3 linked regions of the Oryctolagus cuniculus genome follow. The protein of the gene in region 1 purifies or fractionates together with the protein of each later gene. This does not show direct contact. Links are inferred from orthologs where the notes say so. Each region holds a gene or a part of one and is shown in the gene's direction. Other genes may lie near its edges. The genes, in order: BAZ1B, SMARCA4 and MYO1C.

Region 1 (3,643 bases):
GGATACCCCCGAAGGACTGCCCAACACACTCTTTGGGGACGTGGCCCTGGTGGTGGAGTTCCTGAGTTGTTACTCTGGGCTGCTCTTACCTGATGCTCAGTACCCCATTACTGCCGTGTCCCTTATGGAAGCCTTGAGTGCGGACAAGGGTGGCTTTCTGTACCTGAACAGAGTGTTGGTCATCCTCCTGCAGACCTTGTTACAGGATGAGATCGCGGAGGACTATGGCGAATTGGGAATGAAGCTGTCCGAGATCCCTCTGACCCTGCATTCCGTTTCAGAGCTGGTACGGCTCTGCTTGCGCAGATCTGACGTTCAGGAGGAAAGCGAGGGCTCCGACGCAGATGACAACAAAGACTCCGCGCAGTTTGAGGACAATGAAGTGCAGGATGAGTTCCTGGAGAAGCTGGAGACGTCCGAGTTCTTTGAGCTAACGTCAGAAGAGAAGCTGCAGATCCTGACAGCGCTGTGCCACCGGATCCTCATGACGTACTCGGTGCAAGACCACATGGAGACCAGGCAGCAGATGTCGGCGGAGCTGTGGAAGGAGCGGCTTGCTGTGCTGAAGGAGGAGAATGACAAGAAGAGAGCAGAGAAGCAGAAGCGGAAAGAAATGGAAGCCAGAAATAAAGAAAATGGAAAGGAGGAGAACGGGTTAGGCAAAACTGACAGGAAGAAAGAGGTTGTGAAGTTAGAGCCCCCAGTAGATACGGAAGCTGAAGACATGATTAGTGCTGTGAAGAGCAGAAGGCTGCTTGCCATGCAAGCTAAGAAGGAACGGGAAATCCAGGAAAGAGAGATGAAAGGTAAATTGTCGTGTGGGGGCCGGGCAGGCGTTGTAAACGGAGGGACTGACCAAGGTGTGGCAGGGTCTGTGTGTGTCACAACTGTCCACTTCCGGGTGGTAACCCAGCACCAGCAGATGTGTCTCTTAGTGGGAGTGTTCAGCCCGGCACTCTGCAGCTAATGATGCGTTCCTGTGATGGTGGCATCCTTCTGGGTTCAGGGGAGGACCAAGTCCACAGGTGGGCATAGTGGAAGCAACACCGTGACCTGCTGGGCCTTGGCTGTAGGCCTTGGCAAGCTACTTACCCACGCCTCACTTGGTGCTTGGTAACAGTTGTGGCACCTGAATGACAAGTTATTTGAAGCCCCAAGCATAGTCACCACTTCAGATAGTCCCCTCCCTTAATAATGTTTAAGAGACGTAGAAATTTTGAGCTTTCATGACCACATCAAATCCAAACATTTATAAAAACAGCATTATTAAGAAATAATTTGCATACCATAACATTCATTCATCTATTGTGTATAATTAATTCACTGTTTCTTAATAAATTCACAGATATGTATAACCATTACTGTAGTAATTTTATGTCTATTTTTTTTTTTAACCTAAAAAGAACAACCCGTGTCCTTGGGTGTCACCATCCACCCATCCTCCCCAAGCCAGAAGCCACCACCCGTCTGCTTTCTGTCTCTGTGGATTGCCTGTTCTAGACTTCTCCTATGCAAGACTCATATAATAAATGTTGTTTTTTTGTGACTGGCTTCTTTCACATAGCCGGTTTCCAAGGTTTGTTCACGTTGTAGCACGTAAAACATGTCACATTAAGGAAGCCAGTTTAGAAAGACCATCTCTGCCTAGTTCTCAAACATTCTCATCACCCCAGAAGCCCCCAGCTCCTGTCAGCCGCCCGGTCTGCTCTCTGTTTCTGTGGACTTACATGTTCTGGCTGTCTCTTTGAGTGGAACCACAGAATACATGGCTTGTGTGTCTGTCGTCTTTGACCTTGTCATGCTATGGCCTGCGTCACTACTTTGACCTCATCATGCTACGGGCTGCGTCAGTACTCCTTTCTGGGGCTGAGTGGTAGCCCATTGTTGGGCTGCATGGTATCTTATTTATTCATCCGATGAAGAACGTTTAGGTTATTTCCCACCTTTTGGCTTTTACGGATAATGCTGCTATGGACATTCACGTACAAGTTTGTTTTGGGGGTATATATTTTCGTTTCTCTTGGGTGAATACCTAGGAATGGAATTGGTCATGTGGTCATTTCAGGAGCTGACAGGCTAGGCTGTTCGCAAGAGGGGTTGTGTAGTCGTATATCCCTACCAGCAGTGCAGAAATGTTCTGATTCCTCCATCCTTACCAGCACTTGACACTATCTGACTTTCGAGTTCTTACCATCCTAGTGGGTGTGAATTAATATCTCATGTGCTTTTGATTTGTGGTTACTTGGTGACTACTAAGCATTGTTTCATGTGCTAGTGGCCATTTATTTGGAGAAATGTTAATTCAGATCTTTTGCCTGTTATTTGTTTATATATTTTTTTATTTATTTATTTTTTTGACAGGCAGAGCGGACAGTGAGAGAGAGAGACAGAGAGAAAGGTCTTCCTTTGCCGTTGGTTCACCCTCCAATGGCCGCCACAGCCGGCGCACCGCGCTGATCCGATGGCAGGAGCCAGGAGCCAGGTGCTTTTCCTGGTCTCCCATGGGGTGCAGGGCCCAAGCACCTGGGCCATCCTCCACTGCACTCCCTGGCCACAGCAGAGAGCTGGCCTGGAAGAGGAGCAACCGGGACAGAATCCGGCGCCCCAACCGGGACTGGAACCTGGTGTGCCGGCGCCGCTAGGCGGAGGATTAGCCTAGTGAGCCGCGGCGCCGGCCTATTTGTTTATATTTTTAGTTTTTATTTTATTTATTTGAAAGGTGAAGAAGCTTCCTGTCCACTTTTTTTCCTTTAAAAGATTTATTTATTTATTTGAATGGCAGATTTACAGATAGAGGAAGGGAGAGATAGAACTTTCATCTACTGGTTTACTCCCCAAATGGCCACAATGGCTGGGTCTGGGCCAGGCCAAAGCCAGGAGCCAGGAGCTCCATCCAGGTATCCCTCAGGGGTGCAGGGGCCCAAGCACTGGGGCCATCTTCTGCTGCTTTCCTAGGCATGTTAGCCTAGGAGCAGCCAGGACTGGAACTGGCACCCATGTAGAATGCCAGCACTGCCAGAGGAGGCTTAACCTTATACGCCATGTGCCAGTCCTGATGCTGTCCTTTTGTCCCAGCATCATCTGTTAAAAACTCTATCCTGGCCGGCGCTGTGGCTCACTAGGCTAATCCTCCAACTGCAGCGCCAGTACCCCGGGTTCTAGTCCTGGTTAGGGCGCCGGTTCTGTCCCGGTTGCTCCTCTTCCAGTCCAGCTCTCTCCTGTGGCCCAGGAGGGCAGTGGAGGATGGCCCAAGTACTTGGGCCCTGCACCCGTGTGGGAGACCAGGATAAGTACCTGGCTCCTGGCTTTGGATTGGTGCAGCTCTGGCCGTAGTGGCCATTTGGGGGGTGAACCAACGGAAGGAAGACCTTTGTCTCTGTCTCTCTCTCACTGTCTAACTCTGCCTGTCCAAAAAAAAAAAACACACACACACACACACAATCTTTTCCTTCGTGGAATGATTTTGGTGCCTGAGTCAAAAATTACTTAACTATTAGGCACTTCAGTTTATTTGTGGACTATGAATTTTAGTGTGTTCTCTATGACTATATGCTCTAGTAACTTTAGAAATAGAGAAGAGTTCCTTTCTCAACTTTCCCTTTGTCAAGATTATTTTGGTTATTCTGGGTCTCCTTCAGTTCTG
Region 2 (3,643 bases), on another chromosome or scaffold:
AGGACCCCCCTGTTGACCTCCAGTGAGCCCGGGACGGTGGCACCCAGGGCCTGGGGTGAACAGATGGGGCCCCTGAGGCCCACGGCCACTCCTCCCGGCCTGCGGGGGCGGGGCCTCGGGCCTCCTGACCGGAGGTTGGCTCCCACTGCTGAGACTCCAGGGCTCAGGGCTGCGGCCTAGGATGCGTCCTTGGGAGGCTGCCCAGGGCTTCCTAGGCAGGGCCCTGCAGAGGGGCCGCCTTCTCACTGCCTCTCCCCGCCCCAGGCTGCAGGCTCGCATCGCACACCGAATCCAGGAACTTGAAAACCTCCCCGGGTCCTTGGCCGGGGATCTGCGAACCAAAGCGACCATTGAGCTCAAGGCCCTCAGGCTGCTGAACTTCCAGAGACAGGTGGGCTGAGTGCTGGGGCTGCTCCCTGGGGGCTGGGGCTGCTCCCTGAGTGCTGGGGCTGCTCCCTGGGGGCTGGGGCTGCTCCCTGAGTGCTGGGGCTGCTCCCTGAGTGCTGGGGGCTGCTCCCTGGGGGCTGGGGCTGCTCCCTGAGCACTGGGGCTGCTCCCTGGGGGCTGGGGCTGCTCCCTGGGGGCTGGGGCTGCTCCCTGAGGGCTGGGGTGCTGCTCCCTGGGGGCTGGGGCTGCTCCCTGGGGGCTGGGGCTGCTCCCTGAGCACTGGGGCTGCTCCCTGGGGGCTGGGGCTGCTCCCTGGGGGCTGGGGGCTGCTCCCTGAGGGCTGGGGTGCTGCTCCCTGAGCGCTGGGGCTGCTCCCTGGGGGCTGGGGCTGCTCCCTGGGGGCTGGGGCTGCTCCCTGAGCGCTGGGGCTGCTCCCTGGGGGCTGGGGCTGCTCCCTGGGGGCTGGGGGCTGCTCCCTGAGGGCTGGGGTGCTGCTCCCTGAGCGCTGGGGCTGCTCCCTGAGTGCTGGGGCTGCTCCCTGGGGGCCGGGGCTGCTCCCTGAGTGCTGGGGGGCTGCTCCCTGAGTGCTGGGGCTGCTCCCTGGGGGCTGGGGCTGCTCCCTGGGGGCTGGGGCTGCTCCCTGGGCGCTGGGGTGCTGCTCCCTGAGCGCTGGGGCTGCTCCCTGAGTGCTGGGGCTGCTCCCTGGGGGCTGGGGCTGCTCCCTGAGGGCTGGGGTGCTGCTCCCTGAGTGCTGGGTGCTGCTCCCTGGGTGCTGGGTGCTGCTCCCTGGGGGCTGGGGGCTGCTCCCTGAGTGCTGGGTGCTGCTCCCTGAGTGCTGGGGCTGCTCCCTGAGTGCTGGGGTGCTGCTCCCTGAGTGCTGGGTGCTGCTCCCTGGGGGCCGGGGCTGCTCCCTGGGGGCCGGGGCTGCTCCCTGGGGGCTGGGGGCTGCTCCCTGGGGGCTGGGGCTGCTCCCTGGGGGCTGGGGCTGCTCCCTGAGTGCTGGGGCTGCTCCCTGAGTGCTGGGGGCTGCTCCCTGAGTGCTGGGCCGCTGCTCCCTGGGCGCTGGGGCGCTGCTCCCTGGGCGCTGGGGCGCTGCTCCCTGGCCATTCGCACGTGTGCGCACACTCACACTCACGCAAGGGCGCTGTTGGTCCCCTGTGCCTGCCCTGCGGCCCAGTGGGTGGTGGGAGGGGTTGCCCTTGAGGCTTTCCCTAAGCGGGGGCTTCCCTCTGGCACGGTTGCCCGGTGGGGGATGAGACTCGAGCGGCCCCTCTCCAAGGGGTGCTGTCTTCTGGGGGTCCGTAAGGACCTCTGTGTGTTGTGGGAGGCCCACTGCAGGCTTGAGGCACGCCAGGGCCCTCTGCTGGGCTCCAGATGGTCATTGCTCCGTGCCGCCTGCCGGTGGCTCCTGCCATCCGCTCTCTGCATACAGATCGGTGCCTGAGCATCTTTTTAGAGATGACCCGGAATGGGCGTTGAGCCCAGCACCTCCCACGTCGGGTGCTGGGGTTCCTTCTCCCACGTCCTGCTGATGCGGGCCCCGAGGGGCATCAGTGACGGACTCACAGTCCGGTCTCAGGTGCCGTCGTTCTGGGAGTGAGCCGGCGGGGTGGGGCTGTTGGTCTCGGAGGCGGCAGCACCGGCGTGGCGTGGCGTGGCGTGGTGTGGCGTGCACGGTGCCAGCGTCTCCTGTTCCTCCCGAAGCTGCGCCAGGAGGTGGTGGTGTGCATGCGGAGGGACACAGCGCTGGAGACGGCGCTGAACGCCAAGGCCTACAAGCGCAGCAAGCGCCAGTCCCTGCGCGAGGCGCGCATCACCGAGAAGCTGGAGAAGCAGCAGAAGATCGAGCAGGAGCGCAAGCGGCGCCAGAAGCACCAGGTGCGTCCCGGCCGGCGCCCCCGCGCCGCGCGCGGCCTCGTCTCGGCTGTGACGGTCGCCCCTGTCTGCCGAGTTAGCTTTGTGTTGGTAAAAATTACCGCACGTTGGTGTGTGTTTAGGTACTGCTGAAACACGGCAGATGTCAACCTTGTATTCCATCTCAGCCTGTCCCCCGTTCCCCTGTTTGGGCACACATAGCATATTTTACAGCTCTCAGAATTTAAAAAAAAAAATCCCGCTAGAACAGGCGTTCTTGGCCCTCCAGGTTTTCTGGACTGATCTTGGACATATTCTTACAATATGCACTGGGTTTTGTCAGGACACGGGGCCGGGCCTCCTAGCAGGCAGCGGCACAGTCTCGCTGCGCTTACGTCTCGATGAGCGCGTGGTCCTCCTCGGGGGAGCGCCCTTGCCAGTGGCGTCCCCCGAGCGGTCAGCGCCCCCTTGGCGTCACCCACAGGAGTACCTCAACAGCATCCTGCAGCACGCCAAGGACTTCAAGGAGTACCACAGATCCGTCACGGGCAAGATCCAGAAGCTCACCAAGGCGGTGGCCACGTACCACGCCAACACGGAGCGGGAGCAGAAGAAGGAGAACGAGCGGATCGAGAAGGAGCGCATGCGCAGGCTCATGGTGCGTCCCGGCCCCAGCCCGGCCCGCTCAGCTGGCTCGCGCCCGGTCCAGTAGGGGCTGGGTGAGAGGTGGGCAAAGGGGAAAACAGGCGTGGGTTGGGGGCAGAGACCCCTGCCTCAGACCTGACCACGAAGGGGCCACGGGACCCAGGCCCGTCGGCTGCCCTGCACATTGGGTCAGGGGGCACAGGGGGAGCAGTGGAGACCCCCCAGTAGTCTGTTGGGCCGTGGGGGAAGAGGGCGCTGCAGGAGACGGAACTCGGCCCCTGCCCTCCTGGGCTTCAGATAGCCCGGGTGAAACACAGGAGGGGGTTTTATGTGAAGATGAGTGCAGGGAAGGGCAGGACTCAGGCAAGGGCGTGGGGTGGACAGGAGGCCTCACCACCAGAGGCCTGCAGGGCAGGCGTGACCCAGGGTGCACGGTCTGGGGACAGGAGGGTGGCAGCATGCTGCATGTGGCGTCCAGCAAGTGCCTCGGGTCCCAGGCCCCCGAGATGGGAGGTCCGAGCACCTCGTGTGGGGCAGGTGGATCCCCACGGCCTGCCAGGAGGGCTCTGGGCCCGAGGGCGCCCCTGCCGAGGTGTGGCAGTGCTGTCGTGTGGACCAGCTGGAGGAAGGGCTGGATTTGGGGGTGTGTCTCATGGACGGAGAAGGCGGGACTTGGGGCCTTTGCGGTGGCTCCTTGCAGGGCCCTCAGGTGCTGGCATTGAGGTGATCGTGAGGCGAGTCTAGCGGTGCACCCGGC
Region 3 (3,643 bases), on another chromosome or scaffold:
GGCTTTTATGGAGAACCTGCGGCGGCGCTTCCGGGAGAACCTCATTTACGTGAGGCTCGAGCGGGGCGTGGGGTGGGTGCTGGCCCCCCCCCCCGGGGCAAACCTCTGACCTTGCTCTCCCAACCCCCAGACCTACATCGGCCCCGTCCTGGTCTCTGTCAACCCCTACCGGGACCTGCAGATTTACAGCCGGCAGCACATGGAGCGGTACCGGGGTGTCAGCTTCTACGAGGTGCCGCCCCACCTGTGAGTGACCCCACCCGCCCCCACTGTGCACACCTGTGAGGGTCTCCAGGCCCACCCAGCTCGACCTGGGCGTGGCCTCCAGCCTTAGTGACCCCCAGCTGAGAGGGGCTAGCCCCTAGAAGTGACCTGCATCTTCAGGGGTTACACCTGACTCCCACCCCCACGGGCACTCCAGCTGTTATGGGAGTGGCCCCCCAGTCCTACCTGTGGGGCTACCCCGTCTCCCTGAACTCCCTGACAAGCCCCTGTCGCAGGTTCGCCGTGGCCGACACTGTGTACCGGGCGCTGCGCACGGAGCGCAGGGACCAGGCAGTGATGATCTCTGGGGAGAGCGGGGCTGGCAAGACCGAGGCCACCAAGCGACTGCTGCAGTTCTACGCGGAGACATGCCCCGCCCCCGAGCGAGGGGGCGCCGTGCGGGACCGGCTGCTGCAGAGTAACCCTGTGCTGGAGGTGGGGTGTGGCTGTGGCACGGGGAGGGGGAGAGCCGAGCCGAGAGGGCGCCAGGCCTCCCTCACACCCGTGTCCACACCTAGGCCTTCGGGAATGCCAAGACCCTCCGGAACGATAACTCCAGCAGGTTTGGGAAGTACATGGATGTGCAATTCGACTTCAAGGTACCTATGGGCATGCCAGGGCCGATGGGGGGGACTGCCGCATGCAGGAGACGTGGTATTTCTTGAGCAACTACTGTGTACCGGACATGCTGCAGTGGAACCCAGCAGACAAAAATCCTGCCTCTGGGGTGCTAGACTGAGAGCAGAAACAGTTACAACTTAGATGGTGCCAGAAAATAACAGGAGGGATGGGGGGGGCAGTTGGAATTTTTAATAAGGCAGCTTGTGTAGGCCTTGCCCGGAAGGTAGCATTTTAATGAGGGTTGATGGAGACTGGCAGCCAGCTGTGTGGAGACCTGGAGGAGAATCCAGGCATTGGAACAGCTGGTGACAAGGCCCTGGGCAGGAGGGGACTTGGCAGGTTCCAAGGCCCAGCGACAGGAGAGCAGACGGCGGGGCGGGCCTGCGGGGTCTTTCCAAGGGGAAGGGGGCTTGGCGGAGGATTCTGGGCAGAAGCGTCTTGCTCACCTTTCCTCTCAGAAAGATCGCTCTTCTGTTGGGAGTAGATGGCGGGGGAACCAGGCCAGGCGAGGAACCGGTTGGGAGGCTGATGTAATAATGCAGGTGACAGCTGACAGGGCTCAGAGCAGTGTGCTGGCAGTGGAGGTGCTGCGTGTGGTTGGACTCCGGATGTGTTGGAGGTGAAGGCGGCACGGTTGGCCGTCTGATCAGATGTAGGCTCTGGAAGAAATAGGCTAGACTTCTTGGCTGAACACCTGCTAGATGGGTAGCACTGCCCTCAACCAAGACAGGAAAACGAGAACAGGAGCTGGTGTGAAGAGGGGGAGATCGGGAGTTCGGGTTCAGGCGTGGCAGGCATCCAAGCGGAGCTGCCAAGCGGATGGGGTTGAATCTCCCCATTTCGCAGGTGAAGTTGGTGAGGCCAGAGGGGGTGATGGGTATGAGCCCACACAGCAAGTGGCGGAGCTGAAATTCAAGCCTCTGTGCAGGGGAGGGGAGGGAAGACGGGTGTATTCCCCAGCCCCTGTGACCCGTCCCCTGTGCCTGCCATCCCCGCAGGGGGCCCCTGTGGGTGGCCACATCCTCAGCTACCTCCTGGAGAAGTCCCGTGTGGTTCACCAGAATCACGGCGAGCGCAACTTCCACATCTTCTACCAGCTGCTGGAGGGGGGCGAGGAGGAGACGCTGAGGAGGCTGGGCCTGGAGCGCAACCCCCAGAGCTACCTGTACCTGGTGAAGGTGCGTGGCTGGCCCAGGGGGCGGGGCCGCCCCGGGAGGGGGCCATGGTGCCAGGGCTGGCAACCCAACTGTGCCCTTCCTCTAGGGCCAGTGTGCCAAGGTGTCCTCCATCAATGACAAGAGCGACTGGAAGGTGGTCAGGAAGGCACTGACAGTCATCGACTTCACCGAGGAGGAGGTGGAGGTGAGGCCGCCTGGGGGACTGCGCTCCTTCTGCTCTTTGTGTGTGTGCTTATGTGTGCACGCATGTGTGCATGTGTGTATGTGTGCGTGTGTGCATGTGCGCATGTGTGTGTATGTGTGCGAGTGCATGTGTGTGTGCGTGAGTTGTGTCGTCTTTATTATCTCTGTGTCTTTTATTCTTCCCCTTCTACTCTCAAAAACCATTTCCCCTTTTGCTCTCCAACACTTTGCACCCCTGCCCGCCTCCGGCCGGCCATCCAGTTGCCCGCAGGCTCTCTCCCTCCCCAAGCCTCACGTGCCCTCCCTGCTCCCCTAGGAGCTGCTGAGCATCGTGGCCAGCGTCCTGCACTTGGGCAACATCCACTTCGCTGCCGACGAGGAGAGCAATGCCCAGGTCACCACCGAGAACCAGATCAAGTATCTTAGCAGGGTGAGCGGGTGTGCAGAGGGCGAGGGGAGGGGCCGATGGGGGAGGGGGCGTGTGTTCCCAGCCACACGCACCCCCCTCACACACCCCCCGCAGCTCCTCGGTGTGGAAGGCGCGACGCTGCGGGAAGCCCTGACACACAGGAAGATCATCGCCAAGGGGGAAGAGGTGAGGCGGAGCCTTTGCCCGAGTGTAGGGTCAGTGCAGCTCAGCCCTGCTCTGGCCCTGGTGGTCTTCTGCCCGGTGCTCTGCTCTGCCCTGGTGGTCTTCTGCCCAGTGCTCAAGGGACTTAGGGCAGGTAGCTCAGAGAGACACTGTGAGCTGGCCCAGGTCACACAGGAAGAGACAGAGTCAGGCTGAGACCCAGACTCCCACCTCCAGGAATGAGGCCTCTTGTGCCCCCACCAGCTGCCCCGTGGTGTGGCCACCCCCACCCCGTGTCCTGCTGCTGCTTTCCCTCCCCAGCCCCAGGCTCTCCGGCGCTGAGAGGGAGGGTGGGGTGCTTGGGGTTTGCTGGTCTTCTACCTGAGCCCGAAGGGAGGGGGCATGGAAGAGGTGTGTGTGGCATTGGTCTCCTTGCCTGTCCCCACGCCGACAGCTCCTGAGTCCGCTGAACCTGGAGCAGGCCGCGTATGCACGGGACGCTCTGGCCAAGGCTGTGTACAGCCGCACTTTTACCTGGCTGGTTGGGAAGATCAACAGGTCCCTGGCCTCCAAGGTGAGGGCTGCATGCACGCTGGCCCAGGGCAGGTTGGGGGGGGGGGGAGCTGGGAATAGGGTCAGCCCCGCACATTGGGACCCACGCCCTGGTTGACTGATGGGCCCTAGGACGCCGAGAGCCCCAGCTGGCGGAGCACCACGGTTCTTGGGCTCCTGGACATCTACGGCTTTGAAGTGTTTCAGCACAACAGGTCAGCGCCAGCCACACCCCTGCCGGTCCCTGCCTCGGTCCTCCCGCTCCTGCCCAGCG

The links.
Region 2: the proteins of BAZ1B (region 1) and SMARCA4 fractionate together in Homo sapiens (co-fractionation; 3 studies listed by BioGRID, with this or other methods). This does not show direct contact. The link is inferred for Oryctolagus cuniculus from reciprocal best matches to the Homo sapiens genes BAZ1B and SMARCA4.
Region 3: the proteins of BAZ1B (region 1) and MYO1C purify together in Homo sapiens (affinity purification with western blotting; 3 studies listed by BioGRID, with this or other methods). This does not show direct contact. The link is inferred for Oryctolagus cuniculus from reciprocal best matches to the Homo sapiens genes BAZ1B and MYO1C.

Annotation. Positions count from the first base shown.
Region 1 is NC_091450.1:50,544,469-50,548,111, forward strand, and holds part of BAZ1B (tyrosine-protein kinase BAZ1B), read left to right. Parts: coding exon 1-806; intron 807-3,643. UniProt on the Homo sapiens protein: Atypical tyrosine-protein kinase that plays a central role in chromatin remodeling and acts as a transcription regulator. Involved in DNA damage response by phosphorylating 'Tyr-142' of histone H2AX (H2AXY142ph).
Region 2 is NC_091447.1:66,652,755-66,656,397, reverse strand, and holds part of SMARCA4 (transcription activator BRG1), read left to right. Parts: intron 1-264; coding exon 265-391; intron 392-2,091; coding exon 2,092-2,265; intron 2,266-2,725; coding exon 2,726-2,899; intron 2,900-3,643. UniProt on the Homo sapiens protein: ATPase involved in transcriptional activation and repression of select genes by chromatin remodeling (alteration of DNA-nucleosome topology).
Region 3 is NC_091448.1:47,028,680-47,032,322, reverse strand, and holds part of MYO1C (unconventional myosin-Ic), read left to right. Parts: coding exon 1-49; intron 50-130; coding exon 131-246; intron 247-500; coding exon 501-699; intron 700-782; coding exon 783-863; intron 864-1,883; coding exon 1,884-2,063; intron 2,064-2,148; coding exon 2,149-2,247; intron 2,248-2,562; coding exon 2,563-2,676; intron 2,677-2,769; coding exon 2,770-2,841; intron 2,842-3,271; coding exon 3,272-3,391; intron 3,392-3,501; coding exon 3,502-3,584; intron 3,585-3,643.